4 linked regions of the Arabidopsis thaliana genome follow. The protein of the gene in region 1 purifies or fractionates together with the protein of each later gene. This does not show direct contact. Each region holds a gene or a part of one and is shown on either strand. Other genes may lie near its edges. The genes, in order: SUS2, AT2G31610, AT2G42270 and MAC3A.

Region 1 (5,009 bases):
CGGCACAGGTAACCCAGGGACCTTCCATGGGATATTAGCTTTCCAGCACCGCCATGCCTCACTAAGGTGCTGCAATATAGTCCGCGCTTTATTTTGCTTGATACCCTCTGCACATTATCAGAAAATGTTAACCAAAGAATAAAGCAAAGCAATTTCATCGTTGATAAACAAGTTTGTAAAAATGGAAACCTGGCATAGCATCAAGGACGTCATGCATGACAGCAGCCCGAAGCTCCAGATCAAAATGGCTTTCAACTCTCTGCTTTGTGACTGTTTTGGCCACTCCTTTTGAATGACGCCCCTCAAATTGACGAGCAAGAAGATTCCCTAACCATCTTTCAAGAAGAGGAACTATACCCCGAAGGAAAAACAACCATACCCTCCACATTGGAGCCCAAAATCCACACCCTGGACCCTTACCCACCGGACCAGTATTGAAACGGTAATATATCAAGTGCTTTAAATCCTTGCACATCCGAATCTGCCTCATCAGTCTGTATTTATAACGATACATACCCGTCAACTGGCCAACATGAGAGAAAATATACTGCAGACCATCAGCCAATTGGAAGGCATCGACATTACCAAGTCGGAATTGGACATTTGCATCAACTACAAGTTTTGTCAGGCGGAGGATCTCACGGCACAGATGGAAAGCGTTCCCAAAACGTGACTTCTTTCGCTCTTTGGTGGTCAAAGTTTTCACAGGCTTGAGGTTGAAGTTGTAGTCAAGATGCAGGTAGTTTAAATTCTTCCTATGAATCAGCAGATTCAGCATATTATATCCCTGCCGACAGACTTGCAGACCCACTTCAACCCAATCCAGTTCGGTACTTTGGAAAAACTTTGTAGCTGCAAGAGATCGAAACAAGTGCTTCTTCTTCTGAGCTTTAGGCGGTCTATGGTGCAACTCATTCAGCACATAGCACTTCAATAGCTTTTGGTAACTAACCCGAACTTTAACCGGATAGGCTGGAGGACTGCAGTTAATGAGTTCACAATATGTATTAGGACGGTCACCAGTAAATTTCAAAACGGTAAAGAGGACCAAAGTAGAATAAAAACAAATAGCTTACCAGTGCTCTTTGAACCACTCTGACACCAAGGGAATATCTTCTGCGCGGCGCGTCCTCCCAGACCTCATATTGAAAGGTCGTGGGGCAAACAACAATGATATGCCAGCAGCTGTAGTGTCAGTGTAGAGTTGGGTATCTCTTAGCAAAGGTTCCACACCTTCTGGTAAGGCGAAGTCATCCTCATCATCATAAACCTTCCTTTCACGTTTTTCCTTGTTGGTGTTGCTTATTGGGTGAATCAACGGATCATAATAAAATGCAGGAAGATCGGGATCCTCGGTCTTTATATACATGATCATAGGACTGTGATACACACAGAGTTTTACTTTCCTGGGCCGATTATTGTAGAGATGGGGAAAAGCTATTCTGTACTCAGTACGCAGAGGGGAACGAATAATGAGCTTGTTGATGTCATTAAACTCATTCCAGTCCTCATCCCCTTTCTCCATATCACGGTACAAAGGTTCAAACTTGGGTCCACCTGGAAAAGAGTAGGAGAATGCATTAAAAGCAATGGACCCGCAGCAAAAATATAAAAACTGGAGCATAGAAGGAAAATGGCGTACCAGGTATGCACATGTTCAGAGCTTTTGCTGTGAAGAAAGATGGCATGTCAAATAAGTAGAAGTAGTTGCGATCAATCAAATCAGACAGCAACTGGCCTGCAAGCCTGTGAAGGGTTGCCATGATTGGAAGTGAGAGGTTCCACCTCCGGTAACTGGGACCATTAATCAGTTTTGTTTTAACGAGTGGCTTGTGGTCGTAAAACCAAGTGTGGACAGCAGAATCTTCTTCCTCATCTAGCTCCAATTGAATTGGCTCCAGAGGATCCACGTCCAGCAAGTTGTCTGCATAGTCTAGTGGAGGCTCCTCATCATCAAAAGGTGGGAACCGCATTCTCTTGAAATGACGACGATCCCTCTTCTCCCTTCGCATCATAATCCACATAGTACCCCACTGCAAAACAAGAATGGAATAACCATCAAAAGCTATTGAAAATCCATCAGCGCACAGAGACAGTAAATAAGAGATAAGACTAATCACCAACCTGAGCCATGTAAATAGGTTCCACAACCCATGGTATCTCGTTCACAAATGTAATAGCTCCGGTGATGTGGTACAAAACTTTTACATCTCGGACCTGAAAGAAAATGAGGATTTAGATAAATGAACAGACGATGAAAACAGCTGAAGCTAAAGGAAAAAAAATGTACCTGCTCCCAGGGCATAGGCATGTTCTCCAAGAGCTTGAAAACTGCGTGAGGGACGAATTTAAGGGCTCCAAGGTATACACGTTTGTCGTGACGGAATTTCTTGGATGACATATCACCATGATCTCTGAAGTAAGAAAGAAATCGCAGCTTCAGTCTCAAAATAAGTAAATCCTAACCAAATCTTAGAAACCTAGCCAGAAAATAATTATCAAGTAAACTGTATTTCGAAATGGTAGAGAAAGAAGAGAAGAAAACTAGCCTGATGATCTTCCTGACGTGCTCAGGTGGCATGTCCTCCTTCTGAGTTTCAACGAATCCAAACTTCCTCTTGTCGCCGTACCGTTTGGAATTTAGCTGCATCCATTTTCGGGCCTTCTCCTCAAGCTTAGCCTCCGCTTCCTCAGGAGTAGGCTCGACCGGAGGAGTCGGATTAGAAGGCGGCGGAAGCGCCGTGTAAGAAGGATGAGCAGCGGGAGGTGGCGGCATCATGGACCCGCCAGTACCAGGAGGAGCTAAGGGCATACCATCGTTGTTGTTCCACATAGCTTAGGGTTCCAAATCGAAACGCCGAGCGTAGTCGCGGAGGAAAAAAACCCTAAATCCACCGCGCCAGTGTCGATCTCTAACTACGTTGCGAAGAACTAGTGAGCTTAATCGAGTAAAGAAAAACCCTAAAACATTTTCGGGTGAGTCGCTTCTTCCTTTTTTTTTTTTTTTATTCCCGTTCGGCCTTATATCAGCAGATCAGGAGGAGTAAGTAAAAAAAAAAAATAGGCGGTGTCGAACAGATGCTTAGGCGGTTATCCAAACCCGCTAAGTATTGTCGAATCAAGTTATTGGGCCTTTGATTATTAGATTTGGGCCGTGATGCCCATTGACAAACTTTAATTTGATTTTTTGTTTTGGCATTTATTGGGGAGCTATATAGCAGTAATTGCGGTTTTTCCCCGGAAAACAAACTCTCCCGATTCTCTCGCTCGCTCGCTCAGCTCCTCAACAGTCACCTGAAGGCTGAAGAAGAAGAGCAAAGAGAGCAGAATCTTGTCGGTGAAAATCCGGGAGAATCGGCAATGCGAGAAGAGCATAGTCCGGTTAGGGACGGTCGTCGAAGTGGAGGACTGAGGTCGTTGATAGATCCACGCTTCTTGTCATCGTTTGCTTTAAACGACGGTGGTTCGATTTCTGGACGGAGATCTTCCTACCTGAAACTTCCTCCTCAGGGTCGTATCAAGCTTTCCGTCGTTAAGCTCAACGGCTCCCTTTTCGGTACGATTTTGCTTATCCAGTTTCCGAAATAGCAATTTTAAGAGTTTAGTTTACAATCAAGCTCAACGGTTCCCTCAGTTGGTGATACCCTAATCGATCTCTAATCCGGAATTTTTTGTTGCTGTTAGAAATCATTGTTTAAGAGCCTTAATAGACATAATTTTGGATGAAGTATCAACTAGTTTTTTGGTTACTGTTTCTGATTTGGCCTCTCAAGAAGTTAAATGGTTTCCAACGAATCAATAGATGTGGAAGTTGCAAAGGATTGCTCAGTGGCAGAGCTCAAAAGAGCTGTGGAACAAGTATTCACCATTTCTCCTCTGGAAGGTCACGGCATGATTTCATGGTATATCATCATTTCATATGAAAATTCTCACAGCTTAAGCTTTCTGGTACAGTCGTTCACTTTGATCTTTGCCTACAGGTCTCACGTCTGGGGTCATTTTTGCTTGTGTTATCGAGACCAGAGATTAGTCAATGACAAGACTAGCATCCGTTATCTCGGTCTCAATGATGGAGACCAAGTTCGTTAAACTCCTTCTCACTTCTATATAAGAATCGTATGCACGCAATCTCATTCCTTTGAAAGTCTTAACATCCCTTTCACTCTATTTCAGTTACATTTCGTAAGGCATTTGTCGATAGACCACTCTCCTATGAACAAAAGATCCAAGAGCCCGAGTTGCAAGCGGTACCTCGAGTAAGTACTTTGTAACAATCTTCCTATATCGTCTCTGCATTTCAATGCTCTGCTAAAGAATCCTTGTATGGTAGGTTGGATGTGTCATCCATTGTCAACGAAATCCAAATACAAAACCAAAACCAGAACGGTGTGGATGATGTAGCTGAGAAGTGTTATCCAGGAGCACAAGACGAGTTACCGGCAGCAGAATCCAGACTAGTTAACTTAATTAAAGGATGGTTGCCATATGCTGGACGTTGGGGAGTTTCCAGAAAAGGACCCGAGTGTCGCAGTGGTCCCTCCAGATTTTCTTTGAAGCATTTCGGTGGCAGACCCAAGATGTAAATCCGTAAGTCACAACCTCTTCCTATGTCCCCTTTTTAATCTCTTCCAATGATTATTGGTTTATGAATTTGTTGTCCAGGATTGTATCAAAAGATCCATAGTTTTACAAATTTCATATCTATCTTCATGCATTGTGAAAGCTGAAGGAAGGTACATTTTTATTCGCATAAATTCAGCCTAGAACACAGTAGTAAGATCATCTGATTTGTGATAAAACAAGAATGGATTGAGTATTTGTGTTGATTTTGAATAATTTTGAAGTAATATGGCAAGGTAAACCTTATATAGGCTGAAAATGGTTAAACCCATACCAACCTACTGAGCCCAATAATTGGCCTCACCATTTTGCTGGTCAAACCTATGTTCCACCCGAGAATCTAAGAATGACACGCCCCACCACTAGCATATGCTCATCTTCTTGCCTCT
Region 2 (3,891 bases), on another chromosome or scaffold:
CATTTCTTAGGAAATATGTCCCAACATATTTATATATATTGTAAATATGTGACAGATTCTTAGGAGATGTCCGAACAACAGAGGGAGAATAATATGGTACGACAACTGTTTTCTCTACATTTCCGAGATATATACCTACGAGAAGATTGATTTCAAGCACTATTTGTATTTGCACAATGCCAAAGATGTGAGCGGCAATAAAAAGTTGTTCAACAAGAACACAAAGGCTCTCCTAGATAAGCTCAAGGAGAAAGCAATTCGTAAAGAACAAGAGCCTTACACAAGAGACTACATGTATGCAGCGGGGGAGGAAAGTCTCGGGACGACGAAATTGTATGGGATGATGCAGTGTACACAAGACTTATCAGTTAAAAATTGCAGTGTGTGTTTGGATTCGATTATTGCAAAGCTTCCCAGATGCTGCAACGGTAAACAAGGAGGAAGAGTTTTGAATCCGAGTTGTACTTTTAGGTACGAGCTCTATCCTTTTGTAAAACCGTAAAAGATAATGAGAGCTCCAAACATTTTAGTTTTTGTTATTTTCGAATAAAGTGTTCTGAGCAAAATGATAATTCAAAGTAACAACATCAAATACCAGGCATTGTTGTCGTCATTCTTTTTCTTATTACGAGTCTTAAGAACAAAAAAATCATGGAACTAAAAGCATTCAACCTCCAGAAAACTTGACATAGGTTAAGAAACAACATGAGAAAAAACTTGTCTGCTTGGAGGATATAAGAGATACGACTAGAGAGTGTCAAAAGTAGAAAAGTTATAACAAAAAGAACAAAATCCCATGGAGTAATAGTAAAAAAGGTCTTCTCTAGGCCACTGGAGGAATCATCTCAGGGTAATCTACGGTTGTGAGTGGAGCTTCTTGCACAAGAGTAACTGGAGCAGCAGCCTGAGCAGGTGCAGAGTAGACAACATCATCTTTAGGAGCATGAATGATCACAACATCAGGCAATGGTGTCTTTGGTCCTGATTTGCCCGTAGGGTCCCAGTCAAGCATGATCTTCACCTTGATTCCCAACACCCCCTGCAAATACGGATTGAACCAACAAGATTAGACAAAGCCGGTATACTTACTCACTAAATGGTAGATAAGAGACTCATTAGAAAGCATACCTGTCTGAGCAAAACATGTCTCACTGCAGCATCGATGTATTCCTTAGTTGGTTGACCAGATGAAACCATGTAACCATCCTTGAACTTCATGGACTTAGCACGTGCAGCACGGAGCTTTCCACTCACGATGACCTCACATCCCTTAGCTCCACTCTCCATAACAAATCTCAAAACACCATAACAGGCCCTGTATATCAAATATACCATTGCAATATTAAGGATGAGAAGTTCAAGTGAAAAAAGAGATGCAATAGCCTTGTCGACACATTATGTATCATCAGTGTGTTCAGTAGATAGAAACATAACTATTACACAAAATCTATAAAGAGTGCGCATTTACAGAAACCCCACTGAGAAATATAATTACAGTTGTATCCTATACATTTCACTATTAGGACCAAGTAAGCTAAACAATAACAACAGCAATTGAGAGAGAATACACAAAAACATACTAGAGAAATGTCGTACCTGCGAACAGCAAGACCACCGAGAAGCTTGTAACGTAGAGACTCAGCCTGAGCAATGGCACAGAGACCTCTGTTGTTAACCTTCTCAGCATAGAGCTCAACACTGTCAACTGGAAACTTGAATCTCTTCTGGACAAGAGATGTCAATTCCCTAATTCTCCTCCCCTTCTCACCTAAAACCCAACATTTTCGATATCAGATCTCGAAACACATTCAAAATCGAAAGAGAGAAGAAATGATCAAACAAACATACCAAGAACATTCTGAGTACGAGTAGCTCTGATGATAATCTCAGTCCTCATTGGAGTAACCCTAACCTCAACACCAGAGTAACCATCCTCTGCTAGCTCTCTTGTGAGAACCTCATTCAATTCAGCGTAGAATACACCATCCGCTACAAACTACAAACACAGTAACCAGATCAGTTCCAATACGATACAGCTAGAGAAGTCCACTGAAAACAAAAAATGAAATCACAATTCACCTTTCTCTTCTTGCTGATTTGAGTCGCCATACTTGTGGATGTGAAAATCAGCCGATCTCTGAAACCCTAAATGTTGAGACGAAGAGAATCGGTAAGCTCGTGTTCGTTATCAGATATGATTTTAGTATTTATATTGACCTAATTCAGAAACTTAGGTCTCACATCCAATTGAGTTTGGGCCTATTTGTTGAATATGTCAGCCCAATGGACATTTTATGGGCTTTAATATATTTTAAAATTTAAGTACTAATATTATTTTTTAAAAATTAATAATTTCATTCCCGACAAGAACATCTGATTTTGAAGCTCTGTCATTTTCCGACGACGGCAATGGCGTCAGCTTCCAAGAACATTCAGCAAAACCCTTTCTCCTCGAAACCACCACGGCCTCCGTATTCCTCCGGCGCTGCATCAACAACCGCAGTGGCTTCCACCTCAGCCGAGCCCCTAATTCGAAACTCTACCTTAAATCCTAACCCTAGCACCAGCGGCTTACCGTCGACATCGAATTCACCGATTACGATGTCACAAGAAGATGAAATCCTCGCACGCTCCAGTCACATAACCCGGTCGGAGCTTCTCAAACGCCGATCACACAACCTGAAGCAGCTGGCCAAGTGTTATAGAGACAATTATTGGGCTTTAATGGAGGATGTCAAGGCACAACACAGGGATTATTGGTGGAAGTATGGGATTAGTCAGTTTAAAGACGAAAATAATCAATCGAATAAGAGACGGAGGCTTGGTCAAGAGGGAGATATCGGAGATGGTGGTGATGCTGTTGAAGGTAGTGGAGACAATGTTACTAACAATGATGGTGTTAAGAGTGATCAGTATGCGAATAGTAATTGTGGGAGTTGTATGTATGGATGCAAAGCTAAAGCTATGGCGCTTACGAAATACTGTCAATTGCATATTCTCAAGGATAGTAAGCAGAAGCTCTACACTGGTTGCACAAACGTCATTAAACGGTTTGTTTCACTTTCCCTTTATTTGGTTTTAAAATTCTCGTATAAACCAAAGTAATTGATGCTTCAAGTTGTGTTCTTTGCATATTATAGTTGGTGAAGATGTTGTAGTGATGATGAATTGAAACTGCAAAGCTGTTTTGTGTTATGTAGTGAGCCAAGAGATTGTTTCTCTTTTTTTTTCAAGTTTGCAGAAAGGATTTGGGATTGACACTTGACTTTTTTTCAAAGTTTTTCATAGGGTTTGGGAGAAGTCTTAGCTTTGGACATCGAGATAGTGATCGTCGGTAATCATTTATAGATTCAGTAGTTGCCTTGTGTTAAAATATTGCTCTATGTGCTTTGTTGTTCTGGTTGATACACATAACTGACGCAGATGCTTGAAGTTGTCTGTTTTGATGTGTATTTGTAAAATAGTCAGGATATGAGTATTAGCATAACTATATCACCCTTTGAAAATGTATTTGTGTTAGAATAGTCCCATTGTGGTAGTATTAAAACATAAACCAAGTTTCAGATTTGAGTTTTTACAACCTAGATTTCATATATAGGTAAGTTTGTATGCTGGTTTGTAATTAGCATATAATGATAATTTAAGCAATTCTCACCTAACTCTGCATTGTTTCCATTGTACATTCAGAGCCCCAGCAGGACCATTACTTTGTGGAAAACCAACACTTGCGTCGACTGTTCCTGCACTGTGTAATATACACTTCCAGAAAGCCCAAAAGCATGTGGCTAAAGCTTTAAAGGATGCTGGTCATAATGTCTCTTCAACAAGCAAGCCTCCCCCAAAGCTCCATGTTATAGTAGCTGCGTTTGTGCATCATATTCAAGCGAAACG
Region 3 (7,949 bases), on another chromosome or scaffold:
GCACCTTTTGGCTAAGTCCTTTGTGAAGTGAGGAAGCTGCAGAAGCATGGAGTCTCGATCCCACATGCCTTGAGTCACCATCTGGCTTACTTCCATAGCTAAAAGAGCAAGATTCAGACAGCCATTGCTCGATATCACATCGACCATTGCTTGAAGAAGCCTTGTTGCTGATAAAAGGACCTCACACTGATCCATTACAAGGTTCCCGCTGATTTTTTGCCTTGAGAAATGCGCCTGAAGAAGTGCGCTTGTCTTCACACGAGGGTCTGTGCATCTTGGGTTTTGAAAAGAGAACCTCTGGTGATTGATGAGTCTCCGAACTGCGTCCTCTTCACCAGGACGTATAGGAATCAAGTCATACTCCGAAGCTGAAGTCAAGATCTCAAGAAGACCCTTCATCTTGGTCTTGGAAGCCAAGAGAGAACTGAATCGCTCAATGGTGGTGTAATTTATGTAGTAATATGACGCAATCATACCAAGATTGAGAGGAGAGAGATCCAACTCATTGTCTATTTCAATGCATTTACTCACTTCAAGATCAGACAAAGTGTTTTCAACGAGCTCTGAGAGGTGATCAGATAAATGTCTGTGGCTCACTCCCAGGAGATTGTAGTAGTTAGGGTTCTGGGGAAGCCTCCTGTACATGAAGCTCCAGGTAAGATAATCCACAGCATCTTGTTTGTTCTCTATAACTCTAGCAACTACTTCTGCATTGAAATTATCATGCAAGAAATGTTGAAGATGACTCTCAACCGGAAGAGCTTCATACAAAAATTTCTTGTAATACTCTTTACGTGGTGCATGACAGAAGATCACACACTTCCCAGCGTCGTCAAGCAGAGGTCGGCTACCACGCCCCATCATTTGGAGCAGATTAGAGATGGGGTAATCCGAATGAGAATTTTCCCGTCCATCGTAGAAATGTGTTCCCATTACAACAACCAAATGTGCCTTCAATGGAGTACCCCAACACAATGAACTAGACATTACACATACCTGAATCCGTCCAGCTTCAAAAAGCTGAGTCACAATCTCCTGATCCAGATTGCTTAAACCCTCGTGCAGGTAGCCAATGCCATGGCGTAAAGTCTCCTTCAGAGTTTCCTCACAAATTTGTATTAAAAAAGGCTCTAATTCTTCCAGATTCCCTAAAAGGAAATCAGGGCTCTTCATGTTGTCCATGTGCGAGTATGCTATCAGATCCACAGCAGTAAGGCGGACATGTTTACGGGTCGGGACAAAAACGATAGCTGGTTTCTTGTTCTTGGCATGCTGTACTATGGCAGTGTATGTTGGCTTAGTCATCGCCTGCATCCTGGCTTCAAAACTCAATATGTCCACCCCATGAATGTGGATCTCCAGTGGGACAGGACGAACATTAGGCGGGAAGTTAAAAACGCCACATGAACTGGCCCCAATCCACTCTCCAAGATCTTTGGCATTTGCAAGGGAAGTTGATAATGCAACAATCCTGATTTTATTCCCAACCTGACTTGAAATATATCTCATTCTAGAGACAATTACCTCCAACACTTGACCACCTTGACCCCCAATTAAATGAAGCTCGTCAACGATAAACAAACTAACCTGCTGGATATATTTTCTCTGTTTCCACCTCCGGGACAGAGCGTCCCATTTCTCAGGAGTACTTATGATTATCTGACCTTTCTCAAGCAACTTAAGATCCAATAATGTCTCCCCAGTTAACTCAACAACCCGTAAACCAAGCCCCTTTCCGAACTTTTTCTCCCAATCACGAAACTGCTCCTTGGCAATAGCCTCAAGAGGTGCTATATAGACAACACGCATTGCAGAATCAGGTCCTTCGAGATGATTCCTTAATATAGCAAACTCCGCACATATAGTCTTCCCACTTCCTGTTGGAGCAGCAACCACTACATTGTCACTTGTGTTATACAAAACAGTAAAGACCTGAGTCTGCACTGGATTGAAATGCTTGAAATCCTGATAAAGAGTTTCATAAGAAGGATTTCTTAGGGCCATCACCGGGAGGGGCTGCAAATCCAGTAGCTCTGTAGGTGGTGGGTATTTTTCTGGAAGAATAAGATGCCTGAAAGATACAGGTAACACAGTCGGCGAGTCAAGCCATTTGTCTGAAACCACTCGGATGAAATACTGTGGGGGAATTGGCTCAGAGATTGGTACAGTGAAGTTCAAAGTGTGGTCCTCATCAATAACCCGTTTTTTAAAAAGAAAGTACTCATGATGAAGGATCTTTTCACCATCATTGTCTTCCACAATTATCCAAAACGGTTCAACATATTTATTTGCTTTGTCATCCCAGTGGAAATCAGGTGTCACCGTGAGCTCAACCTGCAGAACAGAACGAGAAATCGGCTGAACATGTGCTGCAAGTTTCAGTTTTGGGAACTGATGGATATACTTGTGAAGTGGTCTGCCCATCTTAGGATTACAAATAAGCTCTCCTAGCTCCTGTGAAGATAGATCATAGTACCTCTCCCACACCAGATCGTTTTTCTCCAACTTCATCAGAATCTCCTTGGGAATTCCAGGAAACTGCCAGAGGGGTGTCTGAACACTCCACATCCTCTTCCCTACCATTTTAGACAAGTTGAGAGCTTTCTGAGACAGTTGAGCCCACCCCCTCTTCAACACAATCTCAAAAATAGCTCGTAACAAACGTCCAGCACTTTGGGTAATATAAACCATGTCAGATGTCAAAGAAAGACCCTCGAGCTTTAGCTTTGAAATATATACTTGCAGCAAAACGTTGATCTTTGCACTGGGATCTTCTAGTGTTTCCTTTACCGGAATTGGTACACGATCCAAAAGCTTTGCCAGTTCCATCTTCTCATCTTGTCGAACAGTGACATACTTGAACTCCTCACTCAGAGAGAACAGACGACAAAGCTCTATATCATTCATTGTTGGCTTCAGATTCTCATTGTATGCAGCTATTGTTCCATGGCTTATGTAGTAGTAGCTAGCAATGCGTCCCAAATCAGTAACCTGGAAGTGTCCACTTTTCCTGTCGTACTTAATCAGGTTGTTCTTGTCCAAGATAGTGGCAGCAGAATGTATCAGATCAGCTCTTCTCTCCTCCAATAGCAAGTCTTTTGCAAGGGCATCAGGCGATACGCCATACAGTGTCGGATTACGAACCATGCGGACATATAAATATGTATAGCCAAGCCAGTGGCAAGCTTCTCTAGCATTCTGAATGGTTCCAAGCACAATTTCAGCATTGAGCTGATCAGCAAGTTTGGAAATAAACTGGCTTTCAATAGGTAGTTGCTCATTCATCAAACGAAGATAATACTGTAGCTTGCTGTATCCAGTGATTATTATTCCCTCCCCTTGTTGGTCATATTGAGGTCTTCCGGCACGACCAATCATCTGCATAACATCTAAAGGACTCAGCTCCATCCACTCCCCTCTCTCAGGATTATATACTTGGGTTCCTTTGATAATGACAGTATGTGCAGGCAAATTCACACCCCAGGCAAGAGTTGCCGTGGAAATCAACACTTGCAAATTCCCCCAGCGAAATTGATTCTCAACTATCTCACGATCAGTCCTTGTCAACCCAGCATGATGAATTGCAAAACCATAAGGCAGAAGCTCTTTCAGGTCATTATTCTTGAGAAGTCCAGCTAAACACTTAAGAATTTCACGACTTTGACTATCTTCCTTCAAGAATCTGCTGAGGGTATCATTTGCCATAGCTGTGTCCCGTATTGCCCTTGCAGTTTTTGCTGTTTCCTTCCTCGAATGAACAAAAATAAGGACCTGGTGTTTTCCAGCAACAGCCACTACTTTCTGATAACATATATCATTCATCAACTGGAACCTCCGTAACGGCTTTTTCACATTAATTCCTATATACTGCTGACCGAGAGGCACAGGTCTGTAGCTACGGTCAAATATAAACAACCCATTTTTAAGATCCACTCGCAAAAATGAAGCCACATCGTCACAATTTGGCAGTGTTGCAGATAAACCTACCAGACGAATATGCTCCTTTGTGCTTTCAATCTGCCTAAGAGTCCTAGCGACAATACTTTCAAGCACAGGCCCTCGATTATCATCAAGAAGATGAATTTCGTCGATTATAAGAAGCCTCACAAGCTGTGTATAAGTGCGATCTCCAGATTTCCTGGTGATGATATCCCACTTCTCTGGCGTTGTAACAATTATCTGAGTCTCTTTGATTTCTTGCCCAGTAAGGGACTGATCCCCACTGAGTTCCTTCACAGTAACTCCAAAATCCTTCAAACGTTGAGATAGACTATCCACGACCTCAGCAACAAGGGCTTTCATTGGTGCAACATAGACAATTTTGTAATTACCATGATTAAACGTTCCACCAGGGTTCATATTCAATCCAAGCTGGTGCAGTATGGTGAGCACGGCAACATTGGTCTTCCCAGCACCAGTTGGAGCACAAAGAAGAATGTTGTCAGCCTTAAAAAGAGCAGTGCCGTACACTTTGCTCTGAACCCTATTCAACTGCTGCATTCCCCTAAAAGCTGGTTGGGCCCACTCTGGCAAATCGCTAATTTTCACAAGCTTTTCATTACTATCAAACTTTTTAGAAACCCACGGCACATGAACCTCATCAAATTCCTTGCCACGTATTCTGAAAGAGCGATCAGGAAGCTCACACTTGTTATTCTCCCTCGTGAAACCACCTTGGTTAAAAGCAAGGCTCTCCAGGTCCATCACCTGACGCTGGCCCTTCAACCAACCATTCTCCAAATCTAAATCATCAACATCTCTCATGCCTCTGTCTCCGTCAACACCAGAATCATCATCCATAAGATGTTGAGCTTCTTCTTTGATATCTTTCTCCCGTTTCTCCTCCCTTTCTTTGGCTGTTGCTCTTTTGGCATGCAACTCCTTAACAATTGCTGCCAACTCTGAACCTAACCCCAACATCTCCTCCTCAATTTGATTCCTCTCTTCCTGGTCTCTTCCCCTAGCCAAACGGGTGCACCACACAACTTTAAGACGGTTTTGCAACAGAAATTTAACAAGGCTGAACTTTTCAAACTGAAGGTGCTCAAGCAGCTTGATCTCAACATCCCTATCATTACCCTCAGCAAGTATCTTAAGCAGCTCTTCTGCGAGTTCCTGGCACTCTTGTGCATCAATCTTCTGCTCATATTCTTGAGATATCTTTCTCTGAAGCCAATAAGCATCAATATCCAGAACATTAAGACTCGTATCCTCCTTTGCCTGTCTTGCATCCTCGCCGTTTATTGCCACACCCACCTGGACAACTCCAGTTTTGTTAAGCTCAACAACATCTTCATCCTCCTCATCTTTTTCATCCTGGACCATATCAAGATCACTCTCATCATCATCCTCTTCACATTCAAGGGCAACACCAATATCATAATCAAGTCCTCCATCCTCACTAGCTTTACCACTTAAAGAATCACCACCCTCTTCATAGTCTGTAATCAGTTTTCCAATCGAAACAAACTGACTGAAAACCTGATCAGTAATAACGTTTAGTAGTTTCTCAATCTCTACCTTCTTTTCATGGTTTTTGACGGATTCATTCTTAAGAACTGCCAAAATCTCATCAGCCGCACCGCAAACAATGTCCAAAGGCTGCCCACCCAATTGCTGCTGGATAAGACCAAGCATAATCTCAAAAGCAACCCTTGTTTCCTTAGTCTTCGGCTGATAAACACCATCCTCCGTATCATTAAGTACACTCACCTCCCTAAGACGAACTCTTTTGCTCTCACGAGCAGACACCAAATCATCACAACGTTCCTTCTTCTTCTTAGATTTATTAAGCCGCTCATCTAACTCATGAGGCCTTCCCCTAACGACACGATCTCCAAAGGATTTCGGATCAATCCTACCCCTGAGACTCTCCGGTTCACCAGAAGATTCATGCGTATCACGACGACGCTCATCACTGTTAAGAACAAGACTGGAATTGACTTTGTACCCATACTGCTTCAACCTGGCTTGCTCCTCCGCACCACCACCACCCAAATTCGTCATCACCAAATCGGAAAAACAAACCCCAAATTCCAAGAATTAAATCAATGAAACAAAACAAAATTCGGAACGAAAAACTCTTCTATTACCTCTCTCCCGTTCTCCGTAATCGTCGTCTTAAGAATTTGATCGAGTCGATGAGTTTTTTTTTTTTTTCGTTCAACAGTCTTATATATACACCCTAAACAAGTCTTAAACCGACAATACATTGTCGGCCACAAATTCCAAACCCACGAAGGCCTGTCCGGAAGCCGACTAAAATTATGGAATTGTCCGGTTCAATCCGTTTTAACTATAATTAGAAGAAAACATTAATTAGAGTTGGTTCTTGATGAGTGTTTTCGTATAATCAGAGCAAGTTATCGTATCATTAGACCGTACCAACTAGCCAATCCGGTTTTCTGGTATTAGTAAAAAGCAGCGGTTGGATCCTATGACAATTAACGGTGAGGATTCGATCTTGAAAGCAATGCGTACGTAAATAGAATTGGGCCACAAGCCCAGTTTTATTCAGAAGGGCAAAATTGAAATCTGACAAAGAATTTGACGAATTGTGACAATGTGCGCTTTGAAAAAAAACGAAATTTATCCCGCGTGAGATGAAAAATTCAAAATATTTCACACAGGTGAAACCACTTTGACACGTGCGAGCTCGAAATTTTTCATTTTCAATTACAAAACCCGCCTAGAAAATGGTCTAAATTTTGTTTGCCAGATCGTCTCTCTCTCAAAAGCTTTTCTCTCTTTTTCTCCTTTGTCCCCTCCACTTTACCGTTCACGAAGCCATTCCGAGCTATCACGAAGGAATCTATTGAAGATTCATAGGTAAATCCATGGTTTGATTTGTTCAAGTAGGTTCTTTGTGATGTGACGGAGATTTGTTGCGAAAACGAAGAGTTGATCTCTTTTTCTTGTTGTTTATGAGGTTTCGAGAAAATCTGATTAACAATGGAGAACAAGACTGAGTTCTTGGGTTTTAATGTTGCGATTTCGATTTTGGGTGTGTTCTAATGGCATAGTTGTTTGATTTCTTCAGCGCTCAATCACAAATGCCAGAAGCACGAGATCGAATAGAGAGGCAAGTTGATTACCCAGCCGCATTTCTCAATAGACGCTCGCATGGTATTTTACTTGACGAACCAGCAACACAGCACAATTTGTTTGGGTCTCCGGTTCAGAGAGTGCCATCGGAAGCTACAGGAGGACTTGGGTCAATTGGTCAAGGATCTATGACGGGAAGAGGTGGGCTTGTGAGGGGTAATTTCGGTATTCGGCGGACTGGTGGTGGTAGAAGAGGTCAAATTCAATTTAGATCGCCACAGGGACGAGAGAACATGAGCTTGGGTGTTACAAGGCGTGGAAGGGCTCGTGCTTCAAATTCTGTCTTACCTTCTTGGTATCCAAGAACGCCCCTCCGTGATATTTCTGCCGTTGTTAGGGTTAGTTCACTAAACCTAGTCTCATTTTGGATTTGTCTGCTTATTCTTAGATTTAACTGGAGTTTTTTTCATTGATATATAGCTAATTTGTGATCTGTTTATATCTGGTTTGTGATTTGCATATTGGTTCAGAATCTGCTGCTTATAAGCTAGATTAGTCTTCTGTAACAGGCTTGCTTAGCCTCTTTGTTAACTATATCATAAGTCATAACCTGTTACCAAAAGGCTTGCTTAGTCTGGCTATTTACAAACTCTTATATGCAGGCTATTGAGAGAAGGAGAGCTCGTATGGGAGAAGGTGTTGGCCGAGATATTGAGACCCCAACTCCACAACAACTTGGGGTTCTTGATTCTCTAGTACCGTTGTCAGGTGCTCATCTCGAGCACGACTATTCTATGGTTACTCCCGGTCCATCTATTGGATTCAAGCGTCCTTGGCCACCCTCAACTGCTAAAGTCCATCAGATTTTGCTCGACATCACAAGAGAAAACACAGGGGAAGAAGAT
Region 4 (6,562 bases), about 29 Mb from region 1:
ATTTTAATAAGAGTTTATTTGTTGTTTAGCTTCCTTTTTACCACCTACTAGCTACTAGTGACCTTTGAATCTTATTCCAAATAAGTATGTCTCTAATCTAGTTTAAAGTCTAATCTTGTTTTTAAAGTCATTTAGTGACTTACTTTGTGTAACATTCTGGTTTAGTAGTTGGTTACTTTGGAAATTGGGTTTAGAGAAAGATACAAACTTTCTTGCACTTACTTGATTGTTGATACCAAAAACATGTTTAGGAAATTTAACCAATAACGGAATTACTAAAGATGAGCTATAAATAGGAAAAAAAAAAAAAAAAAAGGCCAGAGAGAGAGAAAGAGTTGGAGGAAGTGAAAAGGAATCTGAGATTGGTGGGGGAATGGGAAGATTGTGAAGTGTGTGTTTTGACCACAGTACAGTCAAAATCTCTGTCTGTCTCAGGGTTTTCTAATTTCTATGACCACCATCACAATCTTTTTGTCTTCATTTCATTGTCTTCAAGATTCATGACCCTTTCTATATAACACAAGTTTTTTAATTGTTGCCGTTTAGGTCCTACTGATTTGAATGATGAAGAAGATCATTTACATGCCTGTTCTTCATTTGCTTTTATAGTGAGCAGCTAACTTTGTTTTATGTGGACTCTTTCAGATCAAAGAGAGAAAGATCAACTGCAGATCCTTAAGGTACGATGTTGTTACAGGAAAATTGTTGACTGAGAAAGAAAGGGAGAGAGCTCAGGTGTGTATATGTGATTGTGAGAGGGGCCATCAGGAAAGTACCAACAGAACTGTAAAGATACAACAAAAATCGCGAGAATTGAGGATATAGCTACTCTTGATGATGAGACTTTTGAGATATCTCTTCATGAATCTTGTGCTGAATCTTCAGTATTGTCATCATCAGGTAAACCAAATATCCTGAGATTACGGTCCATTGAACCGACTGCTATGTATTTGGAGTCGAGTCCAAACTTAACACTTGTTGCTTTACCTGCACATTTATGTAGTTACAATGTCTGAATGATAGACTCAATAAAACAAGGAAGAGCAGTGACTTCAAAAGCTTAACATGTAGCATTTACCTGTACCGGACAGATCGGGAAGAGTCTTGATTGGGTTCCATTCTGCTTTTACACTAGCTGCTTGGAATACTCTACAACATTGAAGCACAAGTTTTCGATTAGTATGATTTGCAGAAGAAACGTATACATATACCCAAACTGCATTTCTGGTGATAGCAGGTTAATTGAGTTTGCACAACTATCTTTCAATATCTCGTTATCAAAGTGAGCTCCTATATCAATTAATTCCCAACATTGTGTATCAAAGTAGACCTCACCTTATATCTGAAGCAGCAATGCCAAGATAAGATCCGCTATGGTCAAACTCCACTGCACAAAAAAAGCTCATTCAGGCCTTAAGAAATGAAAACTCACTCAACAAAATAGACTAGTAAGAGTGCTCAGGTAGTTGAATACCCGAGTTTGCATCTGGAAAGTCAAAGGTTCGGAAGTTCTTTAACTTGCGCAAGTCCCACAACCTAACACCATCCAGTGCAGCAGTCTGTACAATTTAAAGAATAGTAAATATTGGTCAGTCAAAAGGAACCTGGTGCTATCCTTCTTTCTACTTAGTTTAGGTCAATCAGTCAATGTACCCACCGCAAGGAAATAACCGTTTTCAGAGAATGATATAGAGGTGATTTCTCCATTGTGTCCACCAAACTTTGCCACATTTGCCTATCAAACGACAGAGATAGAGATGAGAGTGAAGTGAGAACAAACTTACAAGTGACAACAGTTGATGAGCAAGGAAGGTCAAAGAGTTTTTACCTGACTTTTTACATCCCAAATCTTAACAATAGATTGAGCGGTACCAGTTCCAAGAATGAGACCATCAGGATGAAAAGCAGCAGCCGTGTAATTCACGTCGTTTTCGGAAGCATCTGTCACCTGAATAACAACAATAATGAGAAAGACGCATGGCAGAAACATTTATTCTAACGAGTCTAATTCACATTACAATAAAGAAGGTAAATGTTTCATTGTTATATTAGCATAAAAGAAGAAATCTGAAACTGGATAACAGGTATCAGGTGTGGATTAAAATTTTGGAGACCTGAGCAAGGCATAAACCGGAGGACAGATCATAGAAGCACCATGTACTGTCAAGTGATGCTGACACAAAGTATTTATTCGTTGCGTGGACAGTTACAGCTCGCACCTGAAAACCACATCATTGCTTTTACGTTAAACAGACCAAAAATAAATAAAACGTAAAACTGTATGAGACTGTAGCCTGTAGAAGTTCTTCAGTTACATCCTTACCTCGGCAGAATGATCTTTCAGTGTATGTCTAGAGGTATAGTTCCCATCCTCGGAACATCCCCAGATGCGGACTGTCTGCAGAGTGTTAAGAAATGAGAAGTTAATCTCTTCACTACTACTCCATAAAATCATGCAATCCTCAAAGGAGCTTGTACACATAACCTTAGCTTACCTTGTCGGATGAAGCAGTTAACACAAGATCAGTGTCACCAACGAACTTGATGCTTGTAACCTGCAAAAGGAACAATGCATGTCAAGCACAAAACTACAAAGGAAAAGTTAAAAAAGAAAATGAAATATAAAAAAAGAATACAGTAAAAGACAGACCTTCTTTGAGTGACCAGTCAGCGTTGATAAGATTTGTCCTGAAGGACGATCAAAGAGAACGGCAGTTGTATCAATTCCTCCCGTAGCGATGACATCCTGATTACCACATATAACGAGAAATTAAGAATAATACTAAATAGAGAACAGACACAGGGATTCATGGTAGTGTACAAAATCTATATACTGAAGAATAATATTGATAAGCATCCAGATGGGGATTCATGGCAGTGTACAATATAATGTAAGCGCAAAAGTAAACATGTCACTATGACGTTCAATGCAGTGACTTCTCAGGACAGAGAAAAACTACATAAAGTGATGAATGGAAAATAGAGAAGTTCTTAGGTGTCAAACCTTAGAATGTAGGATGTCCATTGAAAAAATTCCAGGTTTGTTGGTCTTGTGAAGGGGGTGGCTTGAGAGTTGGGTGAACTTCTCCAGAGCATCGACTGAAGCCAATGTTTTAGGGATCTAGAGAACCAATGAGGAGAAATTATTAAGACAGAAGAACCACTCGCAAATCTAATTGAACTCCAAAAGTGCAGATATCCATTGTATGTTACAGACAAACTATATATATATGTAATTCTCTTTTGCCTTCTATTTCCACTAATATACTGATATATGCAGTTACCTGTCTCTTTTTACGCTGCTGAGAAAGAGCAGCATTACAATCTGTGAGTTCTGTGATAACTTCAGCCGAAATTCCAAGACGCATTTTCTTTGCATTAGGCCCCTGCTCACCATCATCGATACCTATATTGCAACCAAAAACATAGTAGCTTGTTATAAGAGAAATTACCACATAGCCAACTTACATTGAGAAGCAAACGTGCAAGCATACCTCGTTTACCATTACTAAGAGCAGCATTCGATGTGGCAACTTCGGGGGCTGCAGGCAACTGCCTTTCAGCCTCTGCAAGCAATTGTCGTGATTCGTCTCTTTCTTTTTTAAGCCTAGCAATCACACGACAAGCAGCATCATGCTGCAAAGGAAAAGTGTATCCCCCATCAATCACCTTTTATCACAAGAAATAAATGGAAACATCCAGGAAAAGAAACTAGAATACATAATAGATATTTGTAATTCATGTAGTCTGATAAGGTGGTGGCAAATGCACCTAACCATAATTACCTGATACAAAGCGTGACTTAGCTCTTGCCTCGCAGTATGCAGTTGTTGTTCCAAAGCAAAATTTGATAGCATCAAACTGTCCCATTCCTACAAGCACAACAAACAGATAAACTTTTTAAGCATTTCTTTTGCCTAAAGTAAAAATAACCAGCGAACACTTTCGTCTTGCTATTAGTAACAAATGAACATATAATTCAATGTAAAGAGTAGAATGCAATCTGCTATGTTAAATAACTCAGATAGCGATGCATACCCAAATCAAGTTCATCCATTTTAACTCTATATGATCCTTAATAGACAGAGAACAAAATTCAGAAACGAAAAAGAAGGTATAGGGAATACAAAATAAGAACTTACAGTCTGAAACGTTCCAAGCAATCCAGGGATGCTAGCTGTGTGTAATGGTTTCGGCTTTACGATCTGCAAAATGGTCCCGGAGATCGAATCAGGCTTAAATAAGTTTCTACAAACAATGCTGTGTGACAAATAACTCCAGTGGTTGCATTACCTTCCCAGTTTTGATGGGAACAATGTCATCAAGAGTATGTGGCTCACCAGTAACCGGGCATTTCCCATAATCCTACAAGGTACCAAAAGCAATCTATAAATTATCACAACAAAGTCTGTATTAAGAAAATATCTGCAGCAAATAGAGAGGTGCAAGAGGCTAAACAGCTGAAAACCCTAGATAAGAGTCGAACGAGGGAGAAAAGAAAAGAACTTGCTTACGGATATATGCGTCTGGATTAGCCGCTTCTCGTAAAGCAAACCCGACTTCTTAGAAACCACAGGCTCCTCCGGAACTTCGCCGGAAACTGTAGAGGAGAAAAGACCACAGTGTTACCGACAGAAACAAAGCAAAATAAAACCCTAAATCGGTAAATAGAGAAGAAAGAGTGCCTTACTTGCACAATTCATCTTCTAAGTATAAACGAAGAAGAAGAAGTATACGCAGGACTAGAAGACTACTCGGTGAATCTTTAAATAGACTGGGCTAGGGTTTTAACTACTCCGGTCCGGCGCTACTAAACAAAATCGCAGAAGCCGGGAGGACGATGAAGACGGAAAGAGAGAGAGATGCAAAAATTGTTTAAGCTTAGGACAACAAGTTAGAGATTTCTTGTTAAACAAATGGGCCTTTTAACGAGACCTTGATTTATAACTAATTAGGCTTTTTTCTGAAGCCCATTAGTTAAACTATGTATGTTCGTTCATTCTTTCTGTCTGAGAAAAGAAACTCGAAAGTATAATTCTTACCCTTTTTTTTGTCATTCTTTTCTTTTATTTTTTCTGATTACAAATTCTTTTAAAGTATAAGGTAGGACAACGATGTACGGGCCATTCTATTTGCACGTACGATAGATGTGTTCTTTATGAACAAAAATTAGTCATAGCCGAAAAGTAGTATTCTCATAAAAAGCATATTTAGTATTCTCATTTCTCAACAATTAACATAGCCGAAAAAAGAACCTTATATGAACAAATCATTGGTCATACTATATTTTCATTTTTTATTAAAAAAAATTAGACTTCCGATTTATATAATATTGTCTGAGAGTTTGGTATTATAATATATTTGTGATAGCTCTGCAAAACTTAAATCATCTCGTTTGGAAAATGCGTGTGTGTAACACTGCACTCAAAGGCCAAAGCTTTTGCCGAAGATGCTCATATATATCTCCAAAGTATCGATTCATCAAATCAGCTTTGATCTCAAGCTGTTTCTTTTTCCTTTTGCCACCAAGTTGCTATTTTTTTCTTTCTCTTCATTCTGTTCTCGTTAAATGATTTCTTGCAACCTCATTAATTTCCAATTCTTAAACGTATGACCATGTTTATTTTATCACATACTGTATATAAGTTTAAAAAATTGCCTGAGTGGTGATATGTATTTTATATAATACATATAGTATATGTACATATTGTTAAACAATTTGAATGAAATAAAATTTTGGATAAATATCAGGAGAAAAAAAACTTAGATAGTCATGCTAATGATTTCAAATAATGCTTCATAGAGTTGGGGACCAAATAGAATGTTGATAAGTGATGTGATGATGTCCCGTTCCCAACCATGACCAAAACAAATAAACTAAAAAAAGCTAGAGGAGAACGAAAAAAAAATCGTCGTAATTACAATAGTAATTAATTAATGCGTATAGTCAATGAAAGTTGTTTTTAGAAGTTTTGAAGTGAAGGGATATTTTGAACTTAGCTGAGTAATAGTCCATGAAAGTTAGATTATTCACCTAGCTGACATTTTTTCATAGTTTGGGAATTCTTTATACGAAAAAAAAAGATAAAATAAAGGTAAGACCATGTTCGTAAAAAATTGTAGTTTCATATATGGTGTTTTTTTGTTAAAGTTTCATATATGGTGTTGATGACTATATAATCTATAAATCACATTGGTGTACCTTTATTTACGTTATCTAAGTCGATATATATTCCGATCTATAAAAGTATCTTTTCATTTGTATGATCAGTTCATTATTTGGTTATGGTTGTAAGGAAAACAACATATATAGAAAACGACAACTCGAAGCATGGTATGCTAAAACTATCACTGTAACGAATTTTTATCGAGAGAAACCATCTTGATATGAAATTTGTAGTTTCCGAATTTAACTAAGCATCACGTAACATTTTTTTTCCCCTCGAAATTTCCATAAAATAAATACATTTGACTTAGTACGATCTTTATCTCTTATTTTCAAAATTTTCACTGACCTGGTCTCTTTTTCTCCTTCTCTTCTTTTCCACTTCTTACCAGCATT

Evidence for each region.
Region 2: the proteins of SUS2 (region 1) and AT2G31610 fractionate together in Arabidopsis thaliana (co-fractionation; one large-scale study listed by BioGRID). This does not show direct contact.
Region 3: the proteins of SUS2 (region 1) and AT2G42270 fractionate together in Arabidopsis thaliana (co-fractionation; one large-scale study listed by BioGRID). This does not show direct contact.
Region 4: the proteins of SUS2 (region 1) and MAC3A purify together in Arabidopsis thaliana (affinity purification with mass spectrometry; 2 studies listed by BioGRID, with this or other methods). This does not show direct contact.

What each region holds. Positions count from the first base shown.
Region 1 is NC_003070.9:30,115,876-30,120,884, reverse strand, and holds the start of SUS2 (Pre-mRNA-processing-splicing factor), read right to left. Parts: upstream 3,039-5,009; 5' UTR 2,834-3,038; coding exon 2,550-2,833; intron 2,415-2,549; coding exon 2,291-2,414; intron 2,218-2,290; coding exon 2,125-2,217; intron 2,034-2,124; coding exon 1,643-2,033; intron 1,558-1,642; coding exon 1,077-1,557; intron 981-1,076; coding exon 190-980; intron 108-189; coding exon 1-107. Other genes in the region: AT1G80060 (Ubiquitin-like superfamily protein), read left to right, coding at 3,361-3,556, 3,803-3,902, 3,981-4,080, 4,174-4,256, 4,331-4,583. UniProt on the Arabidopsis thaliana protein: Functions as a scaffold that mediates the ordered assembly of spliceosomal proteins and snRNAs. Required for the assembly of the U4/U6-U5 tri-snRNP complex. Required for embryo development.
Region 2 is NC_003071.7:13,448,602-13,452,492, reverse strand, and holds AT2G31610 (Ribosomal protein S3 family protein), read right to left. Parts: upstream 2,253-3,891; 5' UTR 2,110-2,252; coding exon 2,080-2,109; intron 1,997-2,079; coding exon 1,849-1,996; intron 1,769-1,848; coding exon 1,597-1,768; intron 1,316-1,596; coding exon 1,129-1,315; intron 1,040-1,128; coding exon 824-1,039; 3' UTR 511-823; downstream 1-510. Other genes in the region: AT2G31620 (Receptor-like protein kinase-related family protein), read left to right, coding at 56-502; AT2G31600 (INO80 complex subunit D-like protein), read left to right, coding at 2,410-3,050, 3,688-3,891.
Region 3 is NC_003071.7:17,602,387-17,610,335, reverse strand, and holds the start of AT2G42270 (U5 small nuclear ribonucleoprotein helicase), read right to left. Parts: upstream 6,007-7,949; coding exon 1-6,006. Other genes in the region: UVI4 (uv-b-insensitive 4), read left to right, coding at 7,053-7,442, 7,707-7,949. UniProt on the Arabidopsis thaliana protein: RNA helicase that plays an essential role in pre-mRNA splicing as component of the U5 snRNP and U4/U6-U5 tri-snRNP complexes. Involved in spliceosome assembly, activation and disassembly.
Region 4 is NC_003070.9:1,224,890-1,231,451, reverse strand, and holds MAC3A (MOS4-associated complex 3A), read right to left. Parts: upstream 4,970-6,562; 5' UTR 4,704-4,969; coding exon 4,691-4,703; intron 4,601-4,690; coding exon 4,515-4,600; intron 4,366-4,514; coding exon 4,294-4,365; intron 4,206-4,293; coding exon 4,143-4,205; intron 3,873-4,142; coding exon 3,786-3,872; intron 3,637-3,785; coding exon 3,495-3,636; intron 3,407-3,494; coding exon 3,285-3,406; intron 3,122-3,284; coding exon 3,005-3,121; intron 2,747-3,004; coding exon 2,651-2,746; intron 2,556-2,650; coding exon 2,496-2,555; intron 2,399-2,495; coding exon 2,324-2,398; intron 2,220-2,323; coding exon 2,115-2,219; intron 1,949-2,114; coding exon 1,829-1,948; intron 1,736-1,828; coding exon 1,658-1,735; intron 1,560-1,657; coding exon 1,475-1,559; intron 1,388-1,474; coding exon 1,336-1,387; intron 1,150-1,335; coding exon 1,079-1,149; coding exon of another isoform or gene 1,073-1,078; intron 988-1,072; coding exon 860-987; 3' UTR 505-859; downstream 1-504.